Canis lupus familiaris: one gene and its partners. The protein of the gene in region 1 purifies or fractionates together with the protein of each later gene. This does not show direct contact. Links are inferred from orthologs where the notes say so. Each region holds a gene or a part of one and is shown in the gene's direction. Other genes may lie near its edges.

The links. Proteins that work in one complex are often made in the same cells at the same time.
Region 2: the proteins of RHOC (region 1) and DAAM1 purify together in Homo sapiens (affinity purification with mass spectrometry; 3 studies listed by BioGRID and IntAct, counting the BioPlex papers as one, with this or other methods). This does not show direct contact. The link is inferred for Canis lupus familiaris from reciprocal best matches to the Homo sapiens genes RHOC and DAAM1.
Region 3: the proteins of RHOC (region 1) and RAP1GDS1 purify together in Homo sapiens (co-immunoprecipitation; 3 studies listed by BioGRID and IntAct, counting the BioPlex papers as one, with this or other methods). This does not show direct contact. The link is inferred for Canis lupus familiaris from reciprocal best matches to the Homo sapiens genes RHOC and RAP1GDS1.

Annotation. Positions count from the first base shown.
Region 1 is NC_049238.1:63,593,163-63,601,401, forward strand, and holds the end of RHOC (rho-related GTP-binding protein RhoC), read left to right. Parts: intron 1-2,021; 5' UTR 2,022-2,029; coding exon 2,030-2,185; intron 2,186-2,719; coding exon 2,720-2,840; intron 2,841-3,160; coding exon 3,161-3,291; intron 3,292-4,127; coding exon 4,128-4,301; 3' UTR 4,302-4,733; downstream 4,734-8,239. Other genes in the region: MOV10 (helicase MOV-10), read right to left, coding at 5,033-5,463, 5,566-5,687, 5,973-6,061, 6,153-6,278, 7,089-7,163, 7,403-7,594, 7,779-7,896. UniProt on the Homo sapiens protein: Regulates a signal transduction pathway linking plasma membrane receptors to the assembly of focal adhesions and actin stress fibers.
Region 2 is NC_049229.1:34,884,034-34,890,078, forward strand, and holds part of DAAM1 (disheveled-associated activator of morphogenesis 1), read left to right. Parts: coding exon 1-96; intron 97-1,284; coding exon 1,285-1,351; intron 1,352-1,576; coding exon 1,577-1,694; intron 1,695-2,126; coding exon 2,127-2,265; intron 2,266-2,551; coding exon 2,552-2,610; intron 2,611-5,662; coding exon 5,663-5,850; intron 5,851-6,045. UniProt on the Homo sapiens protein: Binds to disheveled (Dvl) and Rho, and mediates Wnt-induced Dvl-Rho complex formation. May play a role as a scaffolding protein to recruit Rho-GDP and Rho-GEF, thereby enhancing Rho-GTP formation. Can direct nucleation and elongation of new actin filaments.
Region 3 is NC_049253.1:19,228,169-19,233,561, reverse strand, and holds the end of RAP1GDS1 (rap1 GTPase-GDP dissociation stimulator 1), read left to right. Parts: intron 1-2,911; coding exon 2,912-3,039; 3' UTR 3,040-4,759; downstream 4,760-5,393. UniProt on the Homo sapiens protein: Acts as a GEF (guanine nucleotide exchange factor) for the Rho family of small GTP-binding proteins (G proteins) that stimulates the dissociation of GDP to enable subsequent binding of GTP.

The DNA of each region.
Region 1 (8,239 bases):
CTGCCCATCCCAGGTGCCCCCAGCCTGTTTTCGCCCAGCTGGGCCAATGGAACTAGCGGGACTGGGTACGGGGGAGTTAATCACTTGGGCAGAATTTCCAGGGAGAACTCCCTTTTTGAAGGTGGTTTCCATCTTTGGAGGGGACCTGCTGGCACAGTGAGTGCCTTGCCTATCTTTTGGGGTACTAGGGGGAGAGCCCCTTTGTGGGGGGGACAGTGTGGCGGTATCCTCTGAATTCCTATAAATTCTCTCTGACTCATCCACTTCCTCTCATCCCACTTGTATGTGTGTGTGTGTGTGTGTGTGTGTGTGTGTGTGTGGAGGGAGGCCACCCAGGATCCCACTGTTGGAGAGAACTAGCTTTGGGCTCAGACTCCTTGCTTTCCTCAAAGGCAGACAAGCCAGGGCTGTGGGGTGGTGGTGGTCTGAGGAGTCCAGGAGCTCAGCCCAGTTTGACAGGATGTGGGTCCGAGAGAAAAAGCCCGGTTTGGGGCAGAGATCAGGTTACCATCCCTTTCTCCCTTAACTGCTGGCTGCCTGGTTGGTGTGGGGACTGGCCCTTTTCTGCTCAGTTTTGGGAGCTCCTCCCAGCTCCGCCTCTGGCCCCCTCCTTCTTCCCTACGGCCTCGCCGCCTCCCGGCTCCAAGTCCGCCCTCTCTTCCTCAGAGGCCGCAGACCTGGGGGAGCCTCAGCTGGCTGGAGAGCAGCTTCTGTCCCCAGGGAGGGAGGAAGTGAGGCTCAGATCCGGGGCTAGGAGGCTGGGAGGCTGCGGAGGCTTGGTGCTCGCTCGGCTGTGCTGGGGCTGGGACCCTACGGAAACCTCGGCAAACTGACTCCTTGCCCTGAGTCACAGGGAGGGGTGGGCAGGGCCTTGGGGTGAGCTAGACAGAGGGGAGGAAGGGGCTGTTCCAGGAGTGGGTGGAGGTGATTCCCTAGTAGATTATTGTGTCACTCGGCCCATGGTGGATGTGTTGCTCCCACAGTATGGTCATTGTCCCCTGCCTGGGGCTGAGTGACCCAGTGTTGCCGCCAGGGCCCAGGAGGATGGGGAGAGGAGGGCAGGCTGCCCAAATGTGGGCTGTGGGCACCGCGGGGACTGAGCCTCCTTTGTGCGACTGGGGCTAGCTTTGGGGACTGGGATGGGGTGGGGTGGGCCGGGGAGGCTGGCTGGCTGCTGCCACTGCCCTCCCTGGGTTTCCCCTCCCTCGGCTCTCTTTCCCATCTCTGAGGTGATCCGTAGAAAAGGTGACAGACCCTAGAGTCATGGAGCCTGGCTTCCAGTGTGCCCCCGCCCCCCCAGCTCTGACACACGAGTCCTTTTTTTTTTTTTTTTTTTGACACGAGTCCTAACCTCACCTAGGTTTGTTTCCCGTTTGTCAGAATGGAAGCGCACCCTCTACCTTCCCAGGCTTCTGGGGACTGAGGGGGATGGTTTTTACCGAAATGCTCAGCAGACTTGCTCTTACCCACCTGTCCCCTGGTAGTTGGCTGTGCCAGCCTGTGGTCTGGAGAGGGACTCCTCACTGCAACGGGGCGGGCATGACCTGCTCTGAGCCAGGGCCGACGTGTCCATGATAGGGCCCTTGTGATTGCTAAACTTTAAAAGTATCAAAATCCTGGTAACAGAGTGTGACTTGAAGCCCTGGTATATAGCAGGTGAAAGCCAGCTCTTCCAGAAGGGGCTCCAACCCTGGAGCCCCCCTCTAGGTGTCCAGGATCTCACAGTTGGCGGATTGGACCAGAAATCTATTTTCTGTCCCCTGGGTGGGTGGTCCTTCCACCTCCCACCCCTGTATTCTAATCTGTCCAGGGACACCTGGCCCTGCCCCCGAGATTAGAAACTTCAAGCTCAGTTGTTTGATCGATTGGTCCTTGGCAAGAACGCACACCTGAGTAAGGCCCTCAACCTCCCTTTGTGGAGGCTTCAGTTTCCAGGAGGTCTTGGGGGCCCCAGAGAAATGTTTTGGGATTTACTGGCTTCTCCTCCTGCCCCCACCCGGCCCCCGCTTCCCTCCTGCCAGCCCCAGCCATGGCTGCGATCAGAAAGAAGCTAGTGATTGTGGGAGATGGAGCCTGTGGGAAGACCTGCCTCCTCATCGTCTTCAGCAAGGATCAGTTCCCAGAGGTCTATGTCCCTACTGTCTTTGAGAACTACATCGCGGACATAGAGGTGGACGGCAAGCAGGTGACCGTGGAGCCCCTCCTGGTGCCCCCGGGGGAACCCACCCCGCCCTAGTCCTACAGCCCTTGGCTGCCCCTCCTCACCATCCATACACTTCCCTGCTCCAGTCTCCCTGCTGGACTCAGTATAAGTCAGGAAGCGAAACTGTAGTTTCAGGACATTTAGAGATGCCTCCTGGTTCTCTGCCCCCCGCCCCCACATCCCATCCATAATCTGGGCCCCCTCCGACTCCAGACTACAAAATGGGGGTAATGACAAGGCTTCCTTTGGAGGTTCTTGTGACTTATGGTCCATTCCTGGTGCTCAGGCGGTGGCTCATGACCTCCATGAAGATCAAGCACCTGTGTCTCAGCATCTCTAGAAACTCACCCAGTTTATGTTGTGTGACAGTGATGAGCATTGTCCCGGGCACATAGCGAGGGCTTTTGTAGATGGATATTGAGTGAACCTAAATGACCAGTGGTTTCAGAGGACCTCTGGGTGGTAAGGGAGGGCCTGGGACCCTCAGGCCAGCTACTCACTGGCCCTTGGCATCAGGTGGAACTGGCTCTATGGGACACGGCTGGGCAGGAAGACTATGATCGCCTACGGCCTCTCTCCTACCCGGACACTGATGTCATCCTCATGTGCTTCTCCATCGACAGCCCCGACAGCCTGGGTGAGGTGGGGTGAGGGCATTGGGAGAAGGGCACTGAGAAGCTCTTGGGACCAGCCCGCTGGGGGCAGATCTCCTTGGCTCAGTTTAGCCACCTTCAGAGATGGGGTGGGGAGAGGTGCCATTAGGCTCCTGCCCCTGCACTATGGGGTGGGGACTCTGGCCCTGGGGAGGATCAGAGGGGCTCTTGAGCCATGAAAGGGACTGTCATGTTGAAGAGCCTCTAAGACAGCTGCGGGGAGAAAAGGGGGCTTGCGGGGGGTGGGGGGGGGCTTTCTGGCCTAAGTGGAGGCACCAACACCTGTTGGGACACGTCTGTGCAGAAAACATTCCTGAGAAATGGACCCCAGAGGTGAAGCACTTCTGCCCCAACGTGCCCATCATCCTAGTGGGGAACAAGAAGGACCTGAGGCAAGATGAGCACACCAGGAGAGAGCTGGCCAAGATGAAGCAGGTGGGTGGGGCTCCAAGGGGGGGGCGGGGTGGAGGACTGACCCTTCAGGGTCTGCTGTCCTGCTGACCTCCCTGGGGGAGGTCTGCCTCCTGCTCCCTTCCACGGTGTAACTAGAAGGGCTCTTAGTCTCTGGTCCCACACCTGGTGAAATTATCAGCAAATGAAGTGATTTATCAAAGGTCACCTGGCATTTTAGTCTATTCATCTGTTGTCCATTCTGTTTGGGTTGGACGATTAAAAGGAGTGAGTATCCCTGTCCTCAGAGACAGCCTCTTACTCTAGATGTTTTGCTTGGGGTAGCCAAAGTCATGCCATCAGAGTATACCTGGGGAGGTGCAGGTGGGAAGGCATCGGACATGGCTGGAAGGCCCGGAGAGCAAGGGAGTTGGCTTACCTGGTAGTGGCTCTCTGGCCAGAGGACTATGTCTATTAAGGAGAGTTGCCAGGGGGATGAGGACTATGGACTACCCTGCAAGTATAATTATGGCACAGTCTTAAACCGGGTCACACCTGTGTGTTAGGATTATTTTGGCAGGCACGGAGCATGGACTGGAAAGAAATGAGAAGGGAGATCCGTTAGGAGGTGCCAGATACTCATTCTGGCAGGAGGAGGGCATACCATGGGGTATGGGGCTGGTGGAGGCAATTTTTAATGTAAGCGTTTGAGTCTTTTGGGTCCTGGCCCAGAAACCACCCTGGGTGGCTGGGGCTTGAGTGCTTTGTGAGGTGAGAGCTGGAAGACGTATTTGTTCTGATTACTACACTTATGGGTAAGGTGGGGGAGAGTTACAAGTAGCCAGCAGCTTCCTTTGACCTCTGGCCTTCTATCTTCTCAGGAGCCCGTGCGATCTGAAGAGGGCCGGGACATGGCCAACCGGATCAGTGCCTTTGGCTACCTGGAGTGCTCAGCCAAGACCAAGGAGGGGGTGAGGGAGGTATTCGAGATGGCCACTCGGGCGGGTCTCCAGGTTCGCAAGAATAAGCGCCGGAGGGGTTGTCCCATTCTCTGAGACCACTGAGGCCTCCCCTGTTCACCCCCCCCCTTCATGGGGGTGCAGAAGCTCCCCACTTCCTGGCCCCACACTTGTTGAAGGAAGGCTTCCTTGTCATTCCCTCCAGCCCAGGACTGCATCTGAGTTTCCCCTGCCCCACCAGACCCCAGGGTGGTGGTAGGCTGGCCCTCCCTGCCCTTCCAGAGCAAAGTCCCTTGTCCTGTTGCCTTGGTCCAGGGGTGAGGCTCTTGATCCCTCAGCCTTCCCCAGAGGATCATCACACACCAGCACTTTATATACTTTGGGCTCACAGGAGTGTCTGGGGTAGGGGACTTGGAGGGTGTATGTCACCCAGAGCCCCGGGTCCCTGGCATTTATGCTTTGGTTGGGGACCTTGCCTCTGGCTGTACTTGGTGGAAGGCATGAATAAAGGCCACAGGTTCCAACGTGTGTGTGGCAGCTTCCCGTTTTTCTCTCCAGGTCCCTGTCTTGGCCATGAGCTAAGAGTCCCATCTCTCCCAAGTTGCTGGCCAGGCTGGCCCCCTGTTTGCAAATACAAGGTTCCTGGGCAGGCAGGGTGGAGTGTCAGAGCAAGGGATGAGGTCATGCCTGGCTCTGGGAGTTGGAGGCGGGTGAGGGGAGTGGTCTGGAGCAGGGGCTAAACTTAGAAGCCTGTGGGTGGTTTCCTTGCCACCTCCCACTGGGTTTCCTCCCCTGGACCTTGGGGGGTGGGGGGGGATCCTCTCTGGCTAGGAGGGGTATGGCCAGAGGCAGAGTGGGACAGTGCCACCCTCCCGGCTGGGGTCCATCTGGGAGCTCAGGAAGGCCACAAGGCCAGAGGGGGCCAGGCAGAGGAGACAAGGAGGCTTTTGCATAGAACAAGATTTTGTTTTCAGTTTTTCTTCCTCCCTCTTCCCCCAATTGTTAGCAGCTTGGTGTGTCATTCTCCCCAGCAGGGGGGAGGGGGTGGAATGGCTTGGGTTGTAAACTCCCTCCCCCAGCCTTCCGGTCCTTTGGAGGGGCAGTGCCGCTGGGCTTGGGTTCAGGCAGGGCTCTGGGGCAGGGGTGTGCGGGTGGTTAAGGCTTGGCTGGTGTGAGAAAGCGGTCTGCTGTGTCTTCAGAGCTCGTTCCTCCACTCGGGCTCTACTTGCAGGGACAGGCCATCTTCTTCCTCCCGCTCCTGGGGGGGGTAGTCATGACTTTGGGGCCCTAGAAAGAGAAGAGGTGAGCCTGTCTTCCATGCCTCCTCCCCTTGTGCTGTCCCCTGCTTGGCTGGTCATACCTGAGGTAGAGGGCCGGAGCTTGCTCAGACCCTGCAGGAGGTTCTGTCCTTGCTGGAGGTCCAGTTTGGCCGGGAAGGGGCAGCCGGTGTAGCCCCCGTTTTCTTTACAGAACTCCAGGAATCTGTGGGTACAGGAACATTCACACGGAGCTGTGCAGGCTGGCTGAGGAGCACATCAGATGCTGGAGGCTAGAGGCCAGGCCTTGGTCCTACTACCTTTGCCTGTGCCTTTGGGCCACTTGCTTACCCTCTGTCAGGTCACTTAAAAGGGGCCTTGTGGGGACCAGGAACAGACCTGAACAGACCTGTGCATTAGCTGGGCCACCAGGATGTGCCTAATAGCGTTCCAACTGCCCCAGGCTGGGAGCTGCGGCTCCTGAGAGGGGTTAGGGGCTGGGAATGCTCACACTTTCCAGTCGGGGTCGTGGCCCAGGAGGAGTGGGTTGCCCACCACGATGAGCAAGGCCTTGGCGCGGGTCACTGCCACGTTGAACCTCTGGAAGGAGGGAGGGGCAGGGTCATGGGAGGGAAGGACCTGAGGAACAAAAGTGCTCCTCAAGCCAGCCGCCAGCCGCCAGCTCTCGAACCTTGGGGTTCTTGAGGAAACCCAGGTTAAAGTCCAGGTCCAGCTGCACAAAGCTCTGACTGCTCCGCACGGTGGAGATGAGAATGACGCTGCGTTCCTGGCCTTGGAACTCTTCCACGGAGCCCACCTGCAGGGGGACACAGGGCCTGCCACCAGGGGGCTCACAGGGGAAGCAGGGAGGGGGGTGGGGGAGTGGGGGAGGGGGGTTCTCTCGGAGAGAAGTCCTAGGGCACAGGGAGGGAGCAGGAAAGAGCAGGACGCCCTGGAAGCCAGACCTGATGGGTGAATCCAGGGAAATGGGTGCGGGTTGGAAAGGGTTCTAAGCTAAGAAAACAGTGGCCAGGACCCACTAACTCGGAGCAGTGGTTTCCAAACTTCCTGAGAGACAATCACTAAGTACTTGTTAAAGATAAACAACCCAGACCTCCTAACCAGGAGGCCTCTCAATCTTGAGGCGCTGGTTTCCAGCCCTGGCTGTGCGCTAGGTCAAGTGAGGAGCCATAAAGAAACCGCGATGCCCTGGCTCTGCCCTCAGATAGCTGTGCTAACCAGCCGGGTGGGGCTCTGGCACGGGCTGCGCTAAAAGCTTTCCAGGGGATTCTTATCTGCCACCAGTGTTGAGAGCCACCACCTGAGAGTCCAAGAACAGACTGACTCAGAGGGTGGAAATGGGAGCGGGGACACTTATCACATGACAGGTCAGGCAGGCTGGGAGTTTGGACTTTATCCTGAGGGCAGAGGCCTCCAACCAGCCTGGCGGGGAGCAGCAAGGATCTGGGGAGTTCTGCTTGGTCCCGACCCAGGCGCACAAGCCTGGGATCTGCTGGAATGAGGCCTGGGGAGAGCCCCCGCTGTGGCTCAGGCAGTGAGGTGGGGGGGCCTGGGGAGCTTCTTGAAGTGCGGCAGATATGGGGCCTGAAAACAGAGAGAGCATCACCTTCAAGTCTTTGATGTCATCCAGTCCTCGAAGCTCCTTGTCAAGTTTGGTGATGCAATGACGGATTTTTTCCACCTGGAAGATGGGGACAGGTGCCTTTCTCTCATGCAATTACCCCAGTGCAAGAGGGAGCCAGGCAAGAGGCCAGTGAGCTGGGGGGGCAAAGAGGGAGGGCAGCTGACCTCTGAGATCCTTTGAGATAAGGGACCAGCAGAGGCCTGAGCTCTGGAACCTCCACTAAGGGTCTGGCTACGAAAGAGGTACCATCTGGGGCAGGCAGGGATCCAACCCTCCACAGGAACGCATGGCCTGACCTGCTTCCGATAGGGAGAGATGACGCCCACACTTCGGGGGCTCAGGCGGGCTTTGCCCTTCTTGGAGGAGGGGGCCAGGAGCAGCTTCAGGTAGGAGGTCACAGTGGCAGCCTCTTCGGGGTTGAAGAATGATGGGCTATTGCCCTCACGCTCGTCCTTGCCCATGACGCCGTGAAAGATGATGGGAAAGCCCTGGATATGGTGGTCAGGGGAACCTTCAGCCAGACTGCCCATCTCCCTTCCCCTCCTACTTCCAAACTCATCCAGGGAATGTGGGATCCCAGGCCAAGGTGACTGAACCTGCGACTTCCACTCAGCTGCCTCTTGCCTTGCACCTTCGGTAGGAGTGAAGCTGGGGTGCCCCACTCAGCCTCACCTGTCGCGGCAGACCCTCCCAGTGGCAGAAGCGCTCTCGGTCCACTACGTCGGCACAGGCCTGCAGCTCCCCTTCGTAATAGAGTTGGTTAGGGATATCCAGTATGGTGGGGTGGGACCTGTGAGGTAGGAGGAGGAAGATGGAGCCCCGGGGCCAGATTACTTTCGCCCCACCCTTGGTGCCCGCCCCCCCACCGCTGCTCTAGGTGCACACACACCATCCTCCTACTGCCCCCCCTGCACAGCAGACTCACTGATCCACAGTGCGATGCTAGGCACTGGTAACTGCACAAAGCAGAACCAAATGTGGTTCCCGAGAGCATCTGGTCCACGGATTTCATTGGCCAAATTTAAAATAAACCAAGAAAGGGGGAGCCTGTCCTCAGGTTTCCATTTTGCCAAGGAAGGACAGTAGAAAAACAATTAACGGGCAGCCCCAGTTGCGCAGCGGTTTGGCGCTGC
Region 2 (6,045 bases), on another chromosome or scaffold:
GGACTTTAGACTTCATCTTCGCTATGAATTTCTGATGTTAGGAATTCAACCTGTAATAGATAAACTAAGGGAACATGAAAATTCAACATTAGATAGGTAAGTCAAACTGTTATCATCTGAGGTAGTTCATGCTTTTTCCATGTGTGTGTGCCTCTGAACTTTCTGTAACATAAGACACTGGCCCCTGAATACTAGTTCAACTAATGGTGCTTTTATGTAAGACTTTCTCAGTGAAAGAAGCAGCACATTGTACAGAACTTAATGTGGGTTCTGGCATCATACTGAATCCACATCCTTGTCCTACATCTTAACCTGCTATGAATTCTGGTCGAGTTACTCAATTTTTCTGAATCTTAACTGTTTTGTTTTTTGGGTTTTTTTTTTTTTTTTTTGAGAAATAGTGATGTAGTGATAATAATAATGATGACAACTATCTTTTATGAGTGGTTAGAAAGATTGACTATAAAACACAGAATCACTTGGCACCTTTGATAGGCATTCTATGAATGTGAATTTTCACTCTCATTCATTTGCACTTGTTTGCAATCATTTTACTACTTCTAAGATATCTCACTAGCTCTCAGATCTTTCCTTCTACCATTCTCCCTCATTCATATACTCGGACATGCTCTTCTCCTTAGTATTGTATGAACATGTTAAAATACTCTTGCCCCAGGGCCTTTGCATTTGCCATTTTTCTCAGCACTCAAAGATCTTCCTACAGATGTCCAAATTTCTTATTCCCTTATACCTGTCAGACCTTTTCCAGCCAGTGTGTATACACAACTCACCTCACCTCCTCTCATTCTCTTTTGCCTTTACCCTGATGTATTTGTCTTAATAGAACTTATCATCCCTAGTGTCTAAAATACATAGAAGGGGCTCAATAAATATTTAAAATGAATAGGTTAATGGCGTGAATATTTATTTTGTGGTCTTAATTCATCAGTCAGGCAAGTGTAGATATATGGGTAGGTTTTTCCATAAATGGAGTCTGTGAGCAGAATCTGGACTTGATGGTTTTGAGTTTGATAGACCTTTATTAATTGTCTACTATGTACTAGGAATCCTAGGCTTTTAAGTTTGTCTCTTATTGTTATTTCAGTCAGAGTATGTCTTTTTCCTTAGAACATAGTTAAGCAAAGGCATTCAAATTTTGTCTTATTTCTTTTAGAGAAATCTCTGAATATTTAGGAAAAGCCTTAGTATTAACGTCCTGATTCCTACGTGCTTGTGTTTAGAGTATGTCCTACTTTTAATAGCTTCTCTTTTATTGGATTTCAGGCATTTAGATTTTTTTGAAATGCTCCGAAATGAAGATGAGCTAGAATTTGCCAAAAGATTTGAACTGGTATGTATGCTCACAATTACTGTGATTTAACTCATCAACTCATGGAATTTCCCTGGTGTAACATGTGTTAAGTTGACATGGACTGGGTATAACCAAAGAGCAAAATCAAAGTTCTGTTTTGCTACCTAAGTGGCAGGATTAGCTCTGTTTGCCTTGGATTTGCTTGCATTGCAGGTATTGAGGATATTGGGTGTTTGACTTAGATTTCTTTTTCATATGGAATAGGTTCACATAGACACAAAAAGTGCGACTCAGATGTTTGAGCTGACCAGGAAGAGGCTGACCCATAGTGAAGCTTACCCTCACTTCATGTCCATCCTGCACCACTGCCTCCAAATGCCTTGTGAGTGTGTTTGTGACTTACATGTGTGCTTTTGAATGTTTGGACATCATCCAAAGGGCTGTGTCTTCTGAATAGTGCTGATTAGGTTGGGTGCACACCAGGGATTCCAGACCTTGGTTTTATGACAGTCCAAAGTGTTTCCACACAGCTCAGGAGGTATTGTGACATTCCAAAAAAGAAATGAATTATCACCTACTTTGATTTTAAAAATAAATATATGACTTGCAACACATTTCGAAAGGGGTAGAAAGTGCCTCTCAGTCACATAAATGATCATTGCATGTCAGAATTCCAGAGGCTATGAGAAGTGCTAGTGCAAATGTTGTAAACATCTCTGGTTCTGTGGCTCTGGTGGATGACTGCTATTGAAAAATACTCAACCTAGTTTAGAAACAACTTGAAGTGTTTTTCTATAATTCTTTTCTTTTTTAGACAAGAGAAGTGGCAACACCGTTCAGTATTGGCTACTACTAGATAGAATCGTACAGCAAATAGTTATTCAGAATGACAAAGGACAGGACCCCGACACCACACCTTTGGAAAACTTTAACATAAAGAATGTTGTACGGATGTAAGTTTCTTATTTTGCTGTCTGTGAGGTAATAGTCACCATGTAAGACATTTATTGTATCCTACTTTAAAGTAGCAGCTGAGAGAACTGAAATGTTCTAGAGGCCAAATATGAGTTCCTCCATATACATATGTAATATATCTCAGTGACCTCTGAGTTTAAATGGTTTTCAAGCATGCTGATGATTTTCTCCGCATTGGACTATTTTTTGTACCTAGAGAGCGTGTATTTTGACAATGGGCCTTTTATGTTTTTTATAATGAATACTCCTTTAACTATTATACAGGTTGGTTAATGAAAATGAAGTTAAGCAGTGGAAAGAACAAGCAGAAAAGATGAGAAAAGGTAAATAATGAGGTCCTGACAAGGGGACATGTTACTGGTTATTGGGCAACTCTGCTCTGCATATTTTAGAAATTTGTGCTGATACTTCTTACTGACTTTAGTGCATTAGTTTTTTCTATGTCATAAAGGCATTTTTGCCCTCTTTTCTCTTAAATGAAGCTATTTCAGTTGTCATACTGACTGCCAAATATTTTATCCTTTTATTATAATTATGTAAATTTTTTGGAAGACCTTATAGCATTTGCATTTTGGTATTCATAAATTCAGATTTTCTTAACTGCCACTCCTTCCAGCCCTCGCCCCTACCCCATAACTGCTCTTTAAATCACACTAGATTTTAAGATATGTAATAAAGAACATCATGAATAACCAGAATTTTAAAAGAAAAACCCAGGCCAGTTGATTCAGCAGCCCCATCCTCCACGTGACCTTAATTTGGCACCACTTATAAAAAGAAAAATCATCTAGAAAATCACTCACTGTTGTAGATAGATGCATTCATACACCAGCTCTTGGTGAGTATTTGAACATGTCTTTGGTATTAAGACTCAGCATCAGATGACAGGAGGGTCATTTGTGCCCATCACTGTGCCAGCCTCTCAGAGAGTGGATATGTTTCCTTCAAAATACCAGTAACTTAAAGTTGGTCCTTTTGTGAAAACAGTCCTATTCCTGGCCTCTGCTCTTTCTCTCTGCTGGTTAACTGACTTCCTTTTCCTTGTCCAAGTTATTTAGCCACAGCCAGTGAAACACAATAGCACTCACCCTGATAGTCAGTGTGTTGAAAGAGGGTCCAAGAGATGCCAGAGCATTTCCTTTTCCCTTGTCATATTTGTCCTTTTCCATTGAGCAGAAAAGCCAGGCCACCGATAATGGAAACTGCCAAACATGAAGTATACTTACAAGTCCCTCACGTGAATTCAGATTGTTCTCACATTGGTGAGGTTGCCACATACATTTTTATTAATAGATTCCAGAAGCTGCTATAGAAAGAAGAGAAACACTGACTATAAAGTTTGGGGTGAAGAGATGATAACAAAGAGAAAATGATCGGGTGATACTTAAGGAGTATAGTCTAGAGCATGAGGATTAAGATGTGCAAGTGGAGTAGAGTACACAGGACAGAAGCTTCAGAGTCCTTCAGTCATTTGTTCAGTGGATGCTTGTCAAATACCTGTATGCATTAGGTACTATGCTGGGCTCTTTGTGTGTGCGTAGGCAGTCACATTCTCTTCTCCACACTTCTCCTAAGATGAAGATCACGTCTAACTCACAGGGTTGTTGCAAAGATTAAATGACAGAACAAATATAAAGACTCTAACACAGTGCCTGTCACATACCAGTTGCCTAGTAAATGATAGGGACTATGGTAGGATTCGGGTGGCGGAGGTGGTACAAGAGACAATGGCCAAGGTCAGTAGGGCCAAACAGGATTGTTTAAAGTGAGGTCACAGGGGGAGTATAAAGGAGGGGGTATTATAGATAATTAATTAATTATCTATAAAAAATTATTTTCTGAAAGCTTCAAGTAGCAAGGCTGTATTATTATAGAGGGCACATGTTGATGAACTAGAGGGTGAAGGCTATGAGGAGATAGGAAGTTCTTTGGGCCCTGAAAGGTGGAGATAAATGGATGTCCTTTGTGGAGAGAATCCTTTGACAGCAGCTTCCCAGACCTGGTATTACATCAGAATTTTCTAAGGAGCATCTGAAAACAAATTCCTAAGCCCTGTTCTCCAACCCATCCCCCCGCCCCCTGCATCCCCCATAGAACAGACTCCCAAGATATTAAAATCTCTCAGGTGGTTCTGAGACACAGCTGGATTTGTCAAAGCTTCATGACCATAAGAGGCAAATCTTAACAATTGTGGAAGAGAAGTGAAGTGGAGATAAAAGAAGGAAAATGGGGTGCAGTAAGGTACTTTTTAGACAAATCTCTGAAGAAGTTGGGGACACATTTGCAAAGCAGAAGTGGATTGATGGTTATCTTAACTTCAAGGCTTTTAATGGTTGAACTTTTTTCTGTAAGTTGATTTGGGGGAACTCAGAAGAGAGAAAGTAAGAGATGGAGAAAACAAGAATCTAAATGTGTTATCAGATTCAGAAATAGAGACTAATAAATCTGTGTAGCTCTGCCCCAGTGGATTATATCTCTAGTGGGTTTACTATATAAAAAGAGTAGGAATTGGGGCCAAGTATTTGAAATAAAAATCTGCAGCCTAAAATTCATTAGTCCTCTTTCCCAAAGCCTCTCTCACTCCTGTAAGGGCTGGAGTCAGTAGGCATATTGGCAGTGTAAATAAGCATTAGGCTAAATTGGATGCCTTGTTCCATTAGAGCAGGATTGGGAAGTCAGTAAAATTACAGCTGAGAGCTAATATTTTCTCCCCAGATTATAGTGATTCTTATGCTCTGCCCTTAAGGTTTTTAATGCTGAGATGATAACATTTGCTTTCACAAGTTTTAAGAGTTATTTGCCAGAAGCATGAGATAGTTCAAGTCCCAAGTAGCCTTCTGAGAGTAGAAGGGGAGAAAGGACTCCATGTTGGGACAGACGCGATCTGGCATCAGCATTTCCTCACAGAGCAAGATCCTCCCTTTCAGTCCTGTGCTCCTTGGACATGAGCCAGAAACCTAGCTAATAAACAATGGCTTCTCTAGTTCTCATTTCTAATTTGTGAAAAGAGGCCCTTTTAATATTTGTTTTCCCTAGAGTGGTTAAAGGGGCATTTTTATGACCGGATCCTGAGCTAAGTACCAAATAGGCACCATTCTCTTCTCACACTGTGTGCATCTTTGGAACTGTGACTTTAGGATCTCTTTTTCGGTATTTTACAAAATGTAGCTAATAATGCTGTTCATCTAAGGACCCCTCCAAGCACAAAAGCACCAACACCCCTGAGCCCACAAGTCGTTCCCTTTGATGGAACAGAGAAATAATATTTACCTAATAAAGAGCCTCACAATCATCCTCAGCCAATTTTCTGTTTAGAGAAAGCACTTCAGCTTTGAAGAGTCCCCTATTTTCATGTCCCATTGTTTTCTTGTGTAGAGCACAATGAGTTACAACAGAAATTGGAAAAGAAAGAGCGCGAATGTGATGCCAAGACCCAAGAGAAAGAAGAGATGATGCAGACCTTAAATAAAATGAAAGAGAAACTTGAAAAGGAGACCAGTGAGCATAAGCAAGTCAAGCAGCAGGTGGCAGATCTCACAGCACAGCTCCACGAGCTCAGCAGGGTGAGGGCCGGGGCCACGGGCTGGGTCTTCTATTTCTGGGCAGCTGCCGAGGCCTCACTTACCCTGGAGCCCCTCACCTTAGGCAGACAGCTTCTGCCTGGGGATATAAGTCTTTGTGATTTATCACAGTGGTTATAAGACTCGATCCCTTTGCTGTCATGTAGGTTAGGCAGCAGAGGCGATGTGGGAGTGTGC
Region 3 (5,393 bases), on another chromosome or scaffold:
AGATCTTTAGTTATATCCCACAGGCTTCTGAGGTTTTGTTCATTTTTTTCAGATTTTCTCTCTCATTCAAATTGGGTGATTCCGGGTAGCCCTTGTGGCTCAGCGGTTTAGCGCCGCCTGCAGCCCAGGGCGTGATCCTGGAGACCTCGGATCGACTCCCACATCGGGCTCCCTGCATGGAGCCTGCTTCTCCCTCTGCCTGTCTCAGCCTCTCCCTCTCTGTCTCTCATGAATAAATAAATGAAATCTTTAAAAAAAAAAAAATTGGGTGATTCCTATTGTTTTGTCTTAAAGCTCACTGATTTCTTAGGTCCCCTCCATTCTGCTGTTGAGCCTATACACTACGTTTTTATTTCAAGTACTATAGTTTTGAGTTCTAAAATTCCCATTTGCAGCTTCTTTATGTCTTGTTTCCTTGCTAAGACTGTTATTGAGGCATTTTTAAATGTAGAATATACATAAAATTTACCATTGTAACCATATTTATTTATTTCATTTTTTATAACCGTTTTTAAATGTACAGTTCAGTGGCAGAGTAGTACATTCACATTGCTGTACAACCATCACCACCTTTCTTTCTTCCCAAACTGAAACTCGGTACCCTTTAAAAAATAACTCCCCAATCACCCATTCTCCTAGCTTTTGGCAACCAATATTCTATTTTCTGTCTCTATGAATTTAACTACTCTAGGTACCACATATAAGTGGAATCACACAATATTCTTTTTTTGTGTCTTATTTCATTACCATAATGTCTGCAGGGCTCATCCATGTTTTAACCTGCATCAAAATTGCATTCCTTCTTAAGTCTCATTGTATGTATATATCACATTTTGTTTATCCATTCATTTATCAATGGACCTTTGGGTTATTATAAATAATACCACTATGAAAATATGGGTACACAGTATTTTTTCAGTCCCTGCTTTTAGTCACTTTGGGTATATACACAGAAGTGAAATTGCTCTATCATACAGTAATGGTTATATTTAATTTTTTGAGGAATCTCCATACTGTTTTCCACAGTGGTTACACCATATTACATTCCTACCAGCAATGCACATGGGTTCCAATTTCTCTAAATCCTTTTTTTTTTTCTATAATAGCCATCCTAATGAGTATGAGGTGTTACCTTATTTTGCTTTTGATTTCCATTTCCCTAATGGTTAGTGATGTCGGGGAGCTTTTCGTGTGTTTGTTGCCCACTTATATAGGTTCTTTGGGGAATGCATATTCAAGTCCTTAGCCCATACTTTAATCAGGTTATTCTTTTGTTGAGTTGAAAAGGTTTATATTTTTGGGATATTAATCCCTTAATAGATATATGATTTGCATTTATTTCTCCCATTCTGTGGGTTGCCTTTTCAATCTATTGATAGTATCCTTTGGTACCCAGAAGTTTCTAATTTTTATGAAGTCCAATATCTCTCTTTCTCCTTTTGTTACCTGTGTTTTTGATACATATCCAAGATATCATTGCTAAATCCAATGTCATTAAGTTTTTCCTTTTAAGAGTCTTAGAGTTTTAGCTCTTAATTTTTGTATATAAGGGCTTATGGGGGATCCCTGGGTGGCGCAGCGGTTTAGCGCCTGCCTTTGGCCCAGGGCATGGTCCTGGAGACCTGGGATTGAATCCCACGTCGGGCTTCTGGTGCATGGAGCCTGCTTCTCCCTCTGCCTATGTCTCTGCCTCTCTCTCTCTCACTGTGTGCCTATCATAAATAAATAAAATTTTTTAAAAAAATTTAAAAAAAGGGGGCTTATGGCTCTCCTGTTTCACCAGCACCATTTGCTGAAAAAAATGTCCTTTCCTTATTGAATGGTCTTGACATCTTTTTTTTTTTTTTAAGATTTTATTTATTCATGAGAGACACAGAGAGAAAGGCAGAAACACAGGCGAAGGGAGAAGCAGGCATCCTGTGGGGAGCCCAATGTGGACTCCATCCTGGGGCCGGATCATGCCCTGAGCTGAATGAAGGCAGACGCTCACTGCTGAGCCACCCAGGTGTCCCATATGGTCTTGACATCTTTGTCAAAAATATTTTGACTGTATATATGGGGCTGTTTTATTTCTTGATCTATAGCTCTGTCTTTATTTCAGCACAACACTGTTTTGATTGTTAAGCTTTAGAGTAGATTTTGAAATTAGAAAGTTTGAGACCTCCAACTTTGTTCATTTTTGAGATTGTTTTGAATATTCAGACTCTTCAGCTTCCATCTGAGTTTTAGGATGCATTTTTCTGTTTCTACTCAAAACATTATGTCTAGTTTTAGACCTTACCAACTTACTAAATATATCAGTTTGAGGAATGCTGATTGCATTAAGCTTATTAGATGTCAGTTTTCTCATCTAACAGTCTCCAAGTCTTGAGAGTCTTTTATTTTCCTGTAATTGAGGTTAAAAAGAGCAAGAAAGCCAGAAGGAGGAAGATCAGAAATCTAAAAGGGAAAGCTATTGTCACAGAAATTTGTTGAAGGGATATGAAGTATAACCTTTTCATTTACCAGAAAATTAATTTGAAACTGATCTAAAATTTCTAAGATTTTTTTTGTAAGTCATTGGACTTCATATTTGAACTGATGATAGGGTCAAGGAGTATATAACTGAAACTTGAGATTATACAAAGACCTGTGTTTCATTATAACTCATGACTCTAATCAAACTTAGACTGTACAACTTGACATTTGTCTGTCTATAAATATGGCAAGTAAAGTTCCCTTGATACATCTCTAATGAAGACATTTCTAGGCTACTATAGAATTGTTCCTAGTTTTATAACTTGGTATCATCCAAGTAAACATTTTGGGTATATGTATTGTATAGTAAGATTTAGGTGTATGATAGATTGTATAGTAACATTAGAACAATTTAACAGATGCATTATCTGTTATCTTGGTTTTTGTCTTCCAGAATCTCTACACAAGGAAGTACAGGATTTGGCCTTTTTAGATGTTGTATCCAAACTTCGCAGTCATGAGAACAAAAGTGTTGCCCAACAGGCCTCTCTCACAGAGCAGAGACTTACTGTGGACAGCTGAGAACTGCCCCTCCCTGATACATGGCATCATCCCAGCTCTGATTTCCCCTTTGTCCTCCATCTTCTTCCATATCACTTGTGCATGCGTGTAATGTTCCAGTACCAATTGAAGAACTGCTGTAGGTACCTGCCCAATAAGATTTCTAAACCCATAGTTAGTGTAAACATGAATTTGTCAAAAACAAGTCTCCACCCATAACTGTTCTCTTGTATTCCTGTTGCTTGAGCTACATTAAGTAGAATGTGCATGTTGTAGTCCTATGATGATGTAAACTTGGTACTACATAATGACTTGCTCCTCACACTTGGTAAAACTACATAATAATGTACTGGTAAATTAGAAACAAACAAGAATGCAGCAGGATCTGTCTAGCTTTTAAAGATGGAATTGAATAGTAAAAATAGCTCCATTTTTTGGTGCTTGGGAAGCACAGTGACCAAAAAACTGTATGGCTGCTCATTCATTAGTCTTACCTACTAATGTCAAACCCATGGTACCTAGAGTTAAATAAAATCCAATGCTCTCACTCTTTACCCTATGGTTTCTCCTTCTTCCTAACTATGTAGACTCCTGAAATTGCCACAAACTTGGCAAGGCTTCCTTGTGGTTTTTTAATTTTTATTTAATTCGCTGTCATCCATAGCTTAACATTGAAAATATTTGTGTTTTTCAGCATGAAACTAAAGGGTTGAAGAATCTGTGTTACACTAAGTACATATTTTGGGGGGTTTTTTGGCCTATATTTTAGAATCTGATATATGTACATTTTGACATCAGCATTGTCCAACACTTGTCTTTAATGTTCACTTGGCATTTGTTTTCAACTGAGAAATTGAGTATAGTTCATTGGAAGGTGGGTTGTAGAGGTTTTGTTGTGGGTTTTTTTGTTTTTTTGTGGCAGTTTTTCATCAGAAGTTTCCTCTGTCCTAGTCCTTTTAAATCTTATATTAGAACTAGCAGGACATAGAAAAAAAAAGATTAAGAAAGAAGTTTGTCTATACTAAAGAAAGGAAGCAGGTTATAAAAGCCATAGTTGCCAGTCTAGTTCATTCTGCAGATGGCCTCATACCAGTAGCTGTTAGAGTTTCCCACCTCCACTTGCCACAGAGAATTGCACTAGATCTCACAACTATCAGAAAAAAGTGACAACGCCAAGACTCAAGAGATGAGAAGACCCTCTTGGCGAAATATAGTGTACTCTTCACTGCCACTACCACCACCAAATGGGTTTTTAGAACTTTGAAACACAATCTTTGTAAATTAACCAAAAGATCCCTGTGACATACCCTGTCTTGTCCCCATGCACAAGCTTGACAAATACTGGCTGAAAGGTATGATGGGCTCCATTATGGAAGGGCTGTAGGGCAGTAGAATGGGCTGCCCAGGGTGACAAGAGCTCTTTCCTCTCCAGTGGGAGATACTGCACATATCTATGGGGTGACTGAAGTTGGACTTTTGACTCTGAAACAGGTATAATTCAAGAAAATTAAAACCTCAGTGGAGGTAAAGAAACTGACTGATTATTCCCTTTGATGTCCAGGAAAGGGACTATTATTTTGAATGCTTATGCTACACTTACTGTAAGAATGGTATTGTTTACTATCTTCTTCTGGGCTGGATAGTGGACTATATTTTATTATAGGTTTTGAAAAACATCTGTAATGTTGAATAGGCTGTCCATATTATTAACTAAATAAATAAATAGTATATCAAACTGTAATGGCATCATTTGGTTTGTTTGTATATTTCACTTCTGTTTCCAGCTCCTAGAACAGTGATTGCTCATTGTTGATGCTCAGTAAGTATTTGTTGATGAATTCCCGATTTTATAAACTTCCAGATCCCCTAAAGTAATTCCAGATAGATTGGTAGAGAAATGACATTTAGATATTTGTCTGGCTTCAGAGAATCTTTTCAATAGGATCAGTCCTTATTGAAAAGCATCATATAGGGCAGCCCGGGTGGCTCAGCAGTTTAGCGCCACCTTCAGTCCAGGGCCTGATCCTGGGGTCCTGGAATCAAGTCCCACGTCAGGCTCCCTGCATGGAGCCTGCTTCTCTCTCTGCCTGTGTCTCTGCCTCTCTCTCTCTCTCTGTGTGTCTCTCATGAATAAATAAATCTTTAAAAAAAAGAAAAAGAAAAAAGAAAAGCATCATATAGAAAACAGAACAGAGGCATCCAAAAATTATAAATTTCAGAGAAACCATCATCTGGGCCAGCTACCAGCAATCAATTGATATGCTAGGAATTCCCATCTCCAACAAAACAAAGTGCATTTCTAATCACCTTTTTTTTTTTTTTTGCAGAGAGACCAGAAGGCTATGCCCTTATGACAGAGGCCCACCAAACTAGGT